Coturnix japonica: one gene and its partners. The protein of the gene in region 1 binds, or shares a complex with, the protein of each later gene. Links are inferred from orthologs where the notes say so. Each region holds a gene or a part of one and is shown on either strand. Other genes may lie near its edges.

The links.
Region 2: the proteins of STK3 (region 1) and RASSF5 are in contact, whole or in part, in a crystal structure (PDB 4LGD), measured with the Homo sapiens proteins. The link is inferred for Coturnix japonica from reciprocal best matches to the Homo sapiens genes STK3 and RASSF5. Residues at the interface, in NP_006272.2 of Homo sapiens: Phe437, Phe439, Leu440, Leu445, Leu448, Gln449, Arg451, Leu452, Leu455, Asp456, Met458, Met459, Glu462, Ile463, Leu466, Arg467, Tyr470, Lys473, Arg474, Pro476, Ile477, Leu478, Ala480, Met481, Lys484, Gln488; in NP_872604.1 of Homo sapiens: Trp369, Asp370, Ala371, Phe372, Ile374, Leu377, Gln378, Phe380, Leu381, Leu384, Glu385, Glu387, Glu388, Lys391, Ile392, Val395, Gln396, Lys398, Tyr399, Phe402, Arg403, Lys405, Leu406, Ala409, Leu410, Ser413.
Region 3: the proteins of STK3 (region 1) and SAV1 are in contact, whole or in part, in a crystal structure (PDB 6AO5), measured with the Homo sapiens proteins. The link is inferred for Coturnix japonica from reciprocal best matches to the Homo sapiens genes STK3 and SAV1. Residues at the interface, in NP_006272.2 of Homo sapiens: Trp429, Lys430, Val431, Pro432, Gln433, Gly435, Phe437, Phe439, Leu440, Lys441, Asn442, Leu443, Ser444, Leu445, Leu448, Gln449, Arg451, Leu452, Leu455, Asp456, Met458, Met459, Glu462, Ile463, Leu466, Arg467, Arg469, Tyr470, Ala472, Lys473; in NP_068590.1 of Homo sapiens: Tyr311, Ala312, Arg313, Ala314, Pro315, Asp319, Trp324, Glu325, Phe327, Gln328, Leu329, Leu332, Asp333, Gln336, Leu339, Lys340, Leu342, Phe343, Glu346, Leu347, Ile350, Val351, Met353, Tyr354, Ala356, Tyr357, Arg358, Ala360, Leu361, Leu362.

The regions. Positions count from the first base shown.
Region 1 is NC_029517.1:115,664,386-115,668,011, reverse strand, and holds part of STK3 (serine/threonine-protein kinase 3), read left to right. Parts: coding exon 1-99; intron 100-2,996; coding exon 2,997-3,122; intron 3,123-3,626. UniProt on the Homo sapiens protein: Stress-activated, pro-apoptotic kinase which, following caspase-cleavage, enters the nucleus and induces chromatin condensation followed by internucleosomal DNA fragmentation.
Region 2 is NC_029541.1:2,734,322-2,738,596, forward strand, and holds the start of RASSF5 (ras association domain-containing protein 5), read left to right. Parts: upstream 1-1,400; 5' UTR 1,401-1,435; coding exon 1,436-1,829; intron 1,830-4,275. UniProt on the Homo sapiens protein: Potential tumor suppressor. Seems to be involved in lymphocyte adhesion by linking RAP1A activation upon T-cell receptor or chemokine stimulation to integrin activation.
Region 3 is NC_029520.1:52,517,734-52,521,359, reverse strand, and holds part of SAV1 (protein salvador homolog 1), read left to right. Parts: intron 1-1,078; coding exon 1,079-1,222; intron 1,223-3,198; coding exon of another isoform or gene 3,199-3,400; exon of another isoform or gene 3,401-3,626. UniProt on the Homo sapiens protein: Regulator of STK3/MST2 and STK4/MST1 in the Hippo signaling pathway which plays a pivotal role in organ size control and tumor suppression by restricting proliferation and promoting apoptosis.

The DNA of each region.
Region 1 (3,626 bases):
CGGAAGCCGGAGCTCTGGTCTGATGAATTCACAGATTTCGTGAAGAAGTGCTTAGTGAAGAATCCTGAACAAAGAGCTACAGCAACACAGCTGCTACAGGTCAGTCTTCAAGTTTCAAAGGAAATGCAAGTTTTATGGCTTTATCTCCCAGTCTCAAACCAGAATGGCTGTGAAAATGTAAGAGCATGTCTCTTGCCTTATTTCTTCTCCATTTTGTGATCTTTTCTGTATCACCTTTTATATCTCTAGCACTGTTTTATTCCTCCTTTGTTACTTCTAAACAGTAATTTCCTCCTGAAGTTTAGAGCTGGTTCTTTGTATTAAAAAATGGGTTCTTGTTCGGTGATTAGAGACCTTAGCAGATCATAGGGTTTAGGCCAGTGTTATGTTAAGGAACCCTTCAGTAGGGACCACCCATGGAGTGTACTCAGTCTGCCCTTTTGGTCATGCCAAATTAAACAAGACAGGTTATTCTGTATCCTAGAAGGATCTGATATGGATGGACAGGATAAAGAGGCTATTCTTGGGCTGTTACCCCAACTGAGCACTTTTCAATTCCAACCACAGTTGGCAGCGTGAACCAACAGGCTTTAGGTCTCTCACTGAACTAACCTGTGTGTTGCTTGGAAATTTAACAGTTGGTACTAAGTACCATTTAGCATTTTGGTACTGAGATGCAAATAAAGCAGAGAAATTTCAAAGAACTACAAAAATCAAACAGGAGGGACTGATCTGTCAAGAAAGGTGTAGTATTGTGAAACCAACAAAATTTTACAAGAACTACATGTTTTGGTGCACAGTAAAAGGGAAAACATGAAAAAAGTATGCTCTTCTAGTTTGGTTTACTTCTTTAGTTTTGTTGTCCACTTAACTAAAGTACTGTCATGGTCAACCTTTAAATAACCAAGGGAAATCATGTCTATCTTCATGTTGTAGATGGAAGGCAGCTGAAAGGAAAAAAAACCCTAGAATATCTGTAGTTGGTTCCTTGATGAATCTAAAATTTCCCATAAGTGAATCTAAATGATTTAGATTCATCTGAAATGAAATAAGCTTTCTTTTCTAACAAGAAGCAAAACATTAAGTAAGCTTTTGGATAATTTCGTCTATGCTTTTCAATGCTACTGGTAAAAATTGTTCTTAATTTTCATTTCATCAATCTACATAAGAACTTCTGAAATTTCTGTTGTAAGACAACTGTGATACCTGTATTCTGTCTTGAGGTAGGAGCATGCTCGTTTTAAATTTACATTAGAATTTAGCCCACTACAAGTACATCTTTGAAAGTAATTTTCAGTAATAAAACATAAAATTCATATTTATGGTATGAAGTATTTTATCTCTCATTGAAAGTAAAATGGATGGGAAGTAAAAGTTGGAATTCAAGATCAGAAATTTGTATGCTAACTATTGACTGGAACTGATTAAAAGAGACTTGTATTAATGCATACCAGTAACAAAAAGCCTTCAGAGTTACATGTCCCCTATACTTACTGGCCAGAAGACTGACTACTTGCATCCATTAGTTGTACATGTTGCCTTTTTCCCAGTTGGAGCATGCGCAGCGGAGCAGGAGGTGCCATGGGTATGTTGGAGGGGTACAGGTGGGAATGAAAATACCACTTGTGAAGAACAGTTATAGAGGGGAAAGAAGGGTAATTGAATTCATGTATCAAGGGAGGGGATGGGTAACAGGCAAAGGAGGACACTAGGATTTATCAAGTTTGTTCTTCATAGAACGATTTTTTAATCAGTAATAATACATGTCTGAAGTGCTGAGAGCTACATTTTTACTCAGTTGTACTTTCATATGATAATATGAGACAAGAATTTTTATAACAGTAGGGGGTTATTAGAGCATAACAGGAATGTAAATGGTATCATCCACGGGTTGTCTTCAAGGAGGAAATGATGCTGTAAATGGCTTTGAATTAAAATTCTCTTCCTCCTAAAAATAATGTTTTCTTTTCTTTTCTTTTCTTTTTTTTTACTTGTTCCACATTTCACCCTCCTAGATGAAGAAATGTTTTATGACATATTCAAGTACAGGTCTGTTGGAGTAAGCAACAGCCATACTTGCTCTGCTTACAGCCGCTAATTTATGCTGTCAGCTTGTTAAGATTAATTAAATACTGTAACTGAATATCTGAAAAAGTTTGTTTTTCTATGTCAGACAATCACCACTCTATTTATTTACTACTTAATGCACATTTCCTTGGGACAATTATGTCCCTAACTATAAAGCAGTTGTTTTGTAGTTGTATTTCTTAAGTCTTGCTGGTTTTTGTTTTGTTTTGCTTGTTTATTTTTTAATAAAAATCAAAGTCTTGTAGAATAAGCTGGAAAGGACCTCTGAAGAATCGTCAAGTCCAACTCCCGGCTCTACGCAGGACCACCCAAAATCCCAACTCCGTGTCCGAGGGCGCTGTCCAAACCATCTGTGAACTCTGGCACTCGGGGCCGTGCCCACTGCCCTGTGCAGCCCGTTCCATGCCCACCACCCTCTGGTGCAGACCCTGTCCCTCACCCCCAGCCGCCCTTCCCCTGACTTCACTCCATGCCGTTCCCTCGGGCCCTGTCGCTGTCACACAGAGCAGAGCTCAGCGCTGCCCCTCCGCTCCCTGTCACGAGCTGCAGCCGCCATCAGGCCTCCATCAGCTCCTCTGCTCTGGGCTGCACAAATAAGGCGACCTTAGCACTCCTCATACGTCTTGCCCTCTAAGCCCTTCCCCATTTTCATAGCCCTCGTTTGGATACTCTCTAATATTTTTATGTCCTTATACTGTATGGCCATACCAGTATGGAGTGGGTAAATAGAAGTGAAATCTTGGTTGTGAAGTAGTTGAAAATTGCCACGTTTTAGATTTAAATTACAGTGTGATGTGAAGTACCATTTATCGTTGAAGTCATTGGTGTTGAATAACACTTGCAATTATATCTGAGCTGTATCTATTGTAATGATGTCATTGAATTTCTTTTTTTCTGTTTTTCCCTAGCATACATTTATTAAGAATGCCAAGCCAGTTTCAATTCTAAGGGACCTTATCACTGAAGCTATGGAAATAAAGGCAAAACGACATGAGGAGCAGCAGAGGGAACTAGAAGAAGAAGAGGAAAATTCGGTCTGTATTTCTTTTTCCTTAGAACTTTTCATATTTTATAGATAAGTTACTATTGCTTTTTGGCAGCTTCCTGTCTTCACATCTTCAAGTACTTTTCTGTTTCTACCACTTCTGTAGCCTGTGAGGTCCAGGGTCTTTGTCCCTTATTCGTAATGAGTAATGGTTCTGTGAGTAATGCTGTATGAGCCAGCTTTCAGTACTGTTTCATGCATCGTCATAGTAAGTTTTAAGAGGTGGGTAGAGAAACCATGTCAAGTTCAGCTTTTCTGACTAGCATTAAAAAAAAAAAAATACTGTTGGGGTCCTATTTTTACTTCTAGAAATGTATTAAATTTTCATAAGTTCAGGTTACTTAGCTTTTTTTGTAGAGTCTATTACACAAAGTAGTTACTTGTGCAGCAAAATTACTAGTGTTTGCAGTATTATTTGAATGAAGTTGTGCATGTGATGTAGAAATGATGACAGCTTTTAATTCTTCCAATTATGATGATGGTAACACACATA
Region 2 (4,275 bases), on another chromosome or scaffold:
AGGAAGGATTTATTTCTTGGCGTGCACCAAAAGGAAGAGCTGCTAATAGCCCTTCAGCTGCCATAATGCAGCAGCTGCAAAGAGGACTCCCAGAATCTAAATGAAATAGGGATTTTCTTGCCTGTGTTCATCAGGATTTAGTTTTTCCCCCCCCCGAATTCTCAACCCTGCTCCTGTTTTCCTGCATTAGCTGAAAACCTGCTGAGGAAGCAGAGAATGGCAGTGAATCTGCTCTATCTCCCAGTCTGGAAGGAGAACAGATAAAACATCCCTCTATGGGGAAAACCATTTACCCAAGGACAAATCTGCTGCTGGTCTCATGCAGAAGTAGAGGATGCATGAAAGTGAATCAGGATCCTGAATGGGGAAAAAAAAGACCTTCCAATATGAGTCATGTTACTTAACAAACAAAAATGGGATTTTTCAAGCTGTATTATTGCTCCTTTCATTTTAGGCTCTTATTAGGGGTTGCCTATTGCAATCGTCTTTTGTAACTCAGAGCCAGATCCATCCTTCAATTTAAATTATTTCAAAGGGATTTAAGCATCTTTGGCTCATCCCATCCTCAGAAACTCGCTTTGTCTCTTTGTCATCAGGCCTTCAGAGCAGCACCTGATCCAAACACCCTCATCTCTGCACCCCAAAAGCATTGCAAATGGGCGTCCTCAGAGCTGCAGTGCTGGAACCTGTACAGAAGAGAGAGACTCCAGAATCTGCCCATCATATTTTCCCTTTCACTTCTCCCACAACCACAAAAGCCTCATCTGGGAGAGTTTAATTGCTTGGGCTCTCAGCCCTCAGCATCACTCCGGTGCCCTGCTGTCATTTCAGAGGGGAAAAGGTAATTTGTTCCAGCTGTCTGTGCAGCCTGGTCCATGCTCTGTGCAGGAGGGTCTGTGTCTTCAGCTCAGTGTATAAAGCAGCACCTGAGAGGTGATCGCCCTGATTCTGTAGGGGCAAAACCTGGGATGGGGATGGGGATGGGATGGGATAGAAGGGGATGGGATGGGATGGGATGGGATAGAAGGGGATGGGATGGGGATGGGGATGGGATGGGGATGGGGATGGGATGGGATGGGGTGCTTCTGCGCTCCTGCAGTGTCCACTGGGAACAGCTTTATGCTGCACGCTGCTCACCCCATTTGCACAGCCGGGATTAGGGTGATGTATGCGTGCAACGTCCCCGGTCCCGAGAGGAGGAGCGTCCCGTGGGGAGCGGTTACACAACAGTGTGGGTTGGGATTCCATGGGGAAATCCTAAAGGGGGGTGGAGAAGGGGGGAAGAAAGAGAGGGGGGGGGGGGGGGGTTTACGACTGCGATGGATCCTATGGGAGGAACCGCTGCTCCGGGAGGGTCACCACGAGAAGATCCCACGCGGGGCCGCTCCCCGCACCACCCCCCCCTATATCAGTGTCTCCTCCCCGGGGCGGCCCAATGCACCCGCCCTGCCCCGCTCCTCCCGGCCACACCGCCAGCCCGGAGCCCGCAGAGCGGCGTGCCGTGCCGTGCGGTGCCGTGCCGTGCCCACCCGTGGGGCCGAGCCCCTCGCCTGGCTCCATGCGGCGGGGTCCACCCGGCCCCGCTCCCCCCTGCCCGGGGAGCCCCGGCGGTGTCAGGGCAGCTCGACGGCTGCGGAGGCGCGGAGGGTCCCCTCGGCTTTTGCCCGACGTGCGCAACATCTTCTCGGCTCCTCGAGAAGCGGCGGAACGAGCCCACGGTCACGGTCACGGTCACGGTCACGGTCACCGCTTCGTCCCCCGCGTCCCTCGCTGCGGTTGGTGCGATCTGTGCGGAGCTGCCGTGCGGGATCGTGCCCTGCGCTGCGAATGTGAGTGCTGCTGCCGTCCCGCAGTTCCATCCCGCACCGCATCCATCACCCTGCCCTACTCCCCACCAACTCCATGCCCCCCTCACCCCCAGCCCCGTGTCCCCCCGCAGAGCTGTCCCCCGTGGGGTGCGGATCCGTGCGGGGGATGCGGGACTTGGGGTTTTTTTTTCCTCCGGGGAAGATGGGATTATCGGCTCATCGGGGCGGAATGGCTCGTGGTTGTGCCGCCTTACGGTGGAGCTAAATCCTTCCAGGAATAGCACGTTGGGAATATCTCCTTTAGGTTCTTTGGGCAGTGAGCAGTGGGAGCTCTCTAGGAAGACTCGCTGTGCTCCCATCGGGTGCATTAAGATTTAGTTCTGCAGGAAGGGTTGGCGTTCCCATCGTGTTTAAGGGGTTGGGAAGAGGGGGTGGGAGTGAATGGGGTGTCCTGGGTCAGACGCAGCCCATGTGCATCACTGTGTGAGGGGTGGCATAAGGACCAAGCAGTGAGTTACAGGCAGCAGAAGTCGAACCTGTTGCCTTGTTATTCCATATCTTCTGAATGGGGAAAGGGCTTTACATCCTATAGACTATGAGCAGTGCCTGGGGGCGGCGCTCCTCCTGCCCCAGCCCTGTGCCCAGCTGATGTTTTCAGGTAACTGAGGGAGCATCCCGATCTGACACGTTAATTGGCAGCACTTTGTGATGCTGTGAGTGCTATAAAAGGGGTGTTTTGAGGGATTTCTTTCCCAGGGCTCTTTTACGAGTGATATTGAAAGAAGCCTGCAGTGCTTGCTTCCCTTTTCGTTTCTTCTGAGAGCTGTCAGGCTGTGGGAATAGATCAGCCTCTAAAATTCCCCAAACAACGACGTGTTATCGCTGGGGGGAGGGAGAGAAACTTCAGTGGGACTCTTAGAACATCAGCACCCATCGCCCTCCCCCTCCTCCTGCAGCACATCCGTTTCTGTTGGGGTTTTTTTCTTGCTGTTTGTTCAGGTGGGGCGGAACGTAGATGTTGGAATGTGAAGGTGACAACGCAGCTTCCAAGTCTGTGCTGAGATTTATTTGGGTTCTAAGCAGGGATATCCGGGGTCGGGGGTGGTTCTGGAAGCAGAAACTCCTGCTCCTTCCCCTTATCCCCTGCATTATGGGCTGGGCTTTTCCCTCAGGCATTTTCCAGCCTTAGGTCCTCTCTCATCCTGGCAGCTCAGGGCATGACTTACAGCCCTTGTATTTCCTGGGCTGTGCTTATCAAACTGCCCTATGGGGTGAGCTGGGTGTGCCCTGCATGGGTTTGTCCCATAGACCCGATCCCTCCCCAGGACATCATGTCACCCCACCAGCACTCAATGAGGTTTCCTTGCAGGACAATGGCACAGCTCAGTCTGTGTTCCAGCACTGTTGGATCAGGACCCATTTCATTGAGAAGAAAGCTGGCACAACACACAGCACTTTGCTTTCTAGCTTGTAAACTGCAGCTCTGCCATTACAGGTTCTGGAGTGGCTGTTTAATTATCAGTGCTCAGTAGCAGGTGTGGATGCTCCCAGCTGGGCTCTGGGATGGGGTCTCTGCCCACACCTGCAGCACTTTAAGTGTGAGGTTTTCCCATGTCTCCTCCCTGCGTGTCCCTCCCATTTCTGCTCTCATCACTGTAAACAATAATTGCCACCAGGAGCCACAGTTTTGGGGCTTCCTTAGTCTGGTTTGGGCAGATTCTTGTTCTCCCAGCAGCAGAGGATGAGGGTGGTGGGGAAGGTGCAGGGCAGGGCACAGGGATCAGGTCTATGGGGCAGGGCACAGCAGGTATTGCTCACTGGGGGACTCAGCATTGGCAGGCTGCTATTCTGGGGGGGGCTCAGGTCCTTGGGTCACCCTTTGCTGCTGCCTTCCCATCCTGTGCTTATGGAGGAAGACACCAATGGAGGCTTTGGTTCACCAGGTGAGGTTTGGGTTGTTTCTTCCTTTCCTGGTCCTGTAGCTGGGCTTGGTGGTCTGGGTTGGGAAGAAGGGATGTGTGTGAGCTGCAGGGTTGGGGGATGCTGAGGGGTGAGGAAGGAATTACTTTGTATTATCCTGTGCTGCTTGGTGTGATGTTTGGATTTAGTGAGCTTTTATCTCTGCAAATTAATGGATGAAATGGGTAGAGTGTGTTGTGTGGGATGCTGGAAACCTGCCCCATGGGTGAGGGGATGGCTGTGATACAGAATGGGGAGGTTTTAAAGCCCTTTGTTGGGTGATGGGATGGATACGAGCATCATCCAGCACCTCACGTGGCTAGAAAGGATGGATGCTACAGGAAAACTGCAGCACTGATCCAAAAACCTGGCAGGGCTCATGTCAGTATTGCTCACATTGCTGATCTCAGTGTATTTCTTTAATGTTTCATTCAATATTGGAGGCTTTAGACAACCACAAGGGAACAGCAGTGAAGTGGGGATGTTAGAAAGGGACCTCCCAGCTCAG
Region 3 (3,626 bases), on another chromosome or scaffold:
GATGGGATCCTGGGCTCCATCAGCAGAGGGGTGGCCAGCAGGGACAGGAGGTGATTGTCCCTCTCTGTTCTGCCCTCTTGAGGCCCCATCTGCAGTGCTGTGTCCAGGTCTGGAGCCCCCGATACAGAAAAGGCAGGGAGCTGCTGGAGAGGGTCCAGAGGAGGCCACAAAGATGCTCAGAGGCTGCAGCACCTCCCTACAAAGACAGGCTGAGGGAGCTGGGCTTGTTCAGCATGGAGAAGAGAAGGCTGCGGGGTGACCTCAATGCAGCCTGCCAGGACCTAAAGGGAGCCTACAGACAGGAGGGGAGACAACTCTTTACAAGGGCAGATAACAGCAGGACAAGGGGAGATGGTTTGGAGTTGAAGGAGGGAAGATTGAGGTTGGATGTCAGGGGGAAGTTCTTCACTGTGAGAGTGGTGAGGTGCTGGAACAGCTGCCCAGAGAGGCTGTGAATGCCCCGTCCATCCCTGGAGGTGTTCAAGGCCAGGTTGGATGGGGCCCTGGGCAGCCTGGGCTGGTATCAATGTGGAGGTTGGAGCTTCGTGGTCCTTGAGGCCCCTTCCAACCTGGGCCATTCTGTGATTCTATGATGTGATTCTGTGAACTGCTTTTGCCTTGCATACCACATGCCAAAACCAACTTATTTTTTATAAGTAAGCTTTACTGCTTCTTGGCTGAGACTTGTAGAAGTTGTAATTGTTGGTTTCTGTCTCATCTGTTCGTTCAGTTTAGAAACAGGATATTATTCTCACTAAAATAAAGCAGCTGTTGTCTGTGACTGCTGGTGAAACAGTCGGGTTGCTGAGAGCAGAATTGGGTTTTAGCCTGAAGGTAAAAACTTGATTGATGTTCTGGGAAACCATCTCTGAAACCCAAACTAAGTCATCTCTGGAATAAAAACAGATATTTTAGCTGCTTAAAACACAGAGGTAAAATCAAGTTAGCATGCACCAAATCTACCGGTTAATTTCTATTCGATCCTTCTTGCTGTATTGCAGGAAGTTCATATCTTTATTAATGAGAGCAGGACATCCTGCTTGGTGCCTGCTGAATTTCTCTGCCTTCCTCCATACAGCGTTCCCCGCTACGACCAGCCTCCCCCAGTGACCTACCAGCCCCAGCAGGCAGAGAGAAGCCAGCCCCTCCTGGTCCCTGCGAACCCTTACCACACTGCGGAGATTCCAGACTGGCTGCAGGTCTACGCCAGGGCTCCTGTCAAGTAAGCTTGTTTTCTTTACTCTTATTTTGCACTAAATTACACGTGCATCGTTTAGACAGAAACCAAGTGGGTTCCGAGGACTGGAAGTAGAACTACAGCTGCTGGCTGTTCTGTAATTGTATGAGAGCTGCTGCTGACAGTGGGTGAGGGATCTGTACTGGGATTTTTCATATCAGAAATACAAGCCACCCTAAATTGAGTGGACCATCGCTGGCTGAGGATCCAGCCTAAGTGCTTTAGACCTGTAATTTTTGTTGCTCAATTGCCCGTTCAACAAACTGCTGTCAGAATATGCTTTTAAAACATCTATCTATGGTTTGTACACATAATATATTAAGATCACCGTGCATGTAATCTGTGCTGTACATTATGATTTAAACCATGTGTGCGACACTCACATCTCCCACAAACATAGCAAAAGTTGGCTCGATAAGGGGAATGGACTCTTGACTCTTCTGGGTGGAAATGGGCAAGTTGGAATGAAGTTGGGCTTCATTTGTGTCTTAGCAGGAGAATGGAGACCACTTCTCATAGGTTTGCTTTGCATTAGGCAATACTTAACATGGCACTGCAGAACTGGGAGTGCGTGCTGTACTCTCAGTGTGCTTGTGAGTATGGTGCCCCATGGCATATAAAATACATGGGGTATGTTTAGCAACAGGGGGTCTTTTCCAGGGGTAGATCTGAATCAATGCAATGAAACACGTTCTGATGGCTGCAGCTCTGCACAAGACTGACACGAAGTAGAAAATCAGTTTCTAAAAGCATCCATGTGGCACTTCAACAACTATAAAACCACGTTCTTCTTCATGAGGAGAACGTGGGGAGGCTGAGTCACAGCAAACAGCTCAGTGCACAGTTGGGAATTCTCAAACCATGTAGCGGTCAGTGGCTTTCAGCTGAAGTTTTTAGCTGCTTCTAATTAGTGTAATTGGAATGGGTTTAATTACTTCTCGTGTCTTCTGGCAAAACAATATGAATTTAAATGGACCTAAAATCCAGTGGTGTACTGGTGCTGCAGTTCCTGTAACCTGGGAGAGGGCTGAGTTCCTAGAAATACTTCTAGGCTTTGGCTGCAGCTGCATTTCTTTATTTAGGTCTTTGGCACATGTAGACAATGCAGTCTGAAGGATTTCAGCCTGTGTTGTGTAGGTTCTTGCTGGTTCTTCTCTTGAAACTTGAAGATAAGCACTGTAAGATTCTCAGAGACTTCCTGAAAGGCTGAGACACTGAAGTCAGTATTGAGAGGACCCCAAAGTCACACATTTTCCAGCCTCCTTTTACATTTCTTCAGCTGAAGCAGGGCAGGTACAGACATTGCTGTTTGTGGCATTCTCAAATGTGAAGAAGCAAATCCTGTTTCATGCTGATTTTGTACTGGGAAAGGGAAGAGGAGAGATAGCAGCTGACTTGCTGTCACCTCAGCTTGAGGGCTTCTCAAAGAACAACACACATTGGGCAGCCTGAGATTGCAGTTCAGATTCTTTTGAAGCACAGATCAGAACCTTTGTCTTTCTCCATGTAACCAGGATCTCATAGCTCTGCTCATTCCATCTGTTCTCCTGTTCTTTCAGTAGCTGCCCTGTCAGCTGCTGATAGCTAAGTTAAGAAAATCACAGTGCAGGTGAGTTACAAATGTTTAGAAGTGCTGGGAAGAAGATCACGAACCTGCAGTAAGGATGCAGCATCTAATACAGAGCAAGGCTGGGGCTACCTGCCTGCAGCAGCTGGGGGCTGCCCAGAGTAGCTCCCTATCAGCCAGAGGGGTGTTCTCCAAAGAGGGCTTTGGGCTGGCACCGAGGTGACATGGCCACTGATTAGGGCTGTTTCTTCTTACTGCTGCTACCCGGTTCTCCCCTCCCGTTGTTCCACGGGGCTCGTGCCCCACAGTTTGGGATGCAGTGACCTAAATCAGCACAGCCTGCGAACGCAGAGCAGCACGGCAGCCTCAGGTGTAACCCTCTGTGCCACTCCAGGTACGACCACATCCTGAAGTGGGAGCTGTTCCAGCTGGCTGACCTGGACACGTACCAGGGCATGCTGAAGCTGCTCTTCATGAAGGAGCTGGAGCGCATCGTGAAGCTGTACGAGGCCTACAGGCAGGCGCTGCTCACCGAGCTGGAGCACCGCAAGCAGCGGCAGCAGTGGTACGCCCAGCAGCACAGCAAGAACTTCTGAGCTGCCCCACGGACACAGGGGAGGCCAGGAGCTTTCAGAAGCCCCCACAGTTCATAAAGAAGTGCTTTGGTTGAAAAGGCAGCTTATTTTTGTTGACATTGCACCTTTTGTTATTATCCTCTTGAATATTTTTCTACATGTATTATGTATTGTTTATACAAATGAGAAACGTTTGTTAATCTTTTTCCATACAAAAACTAGTTTATTATGCTGAAAACCAGCGTGG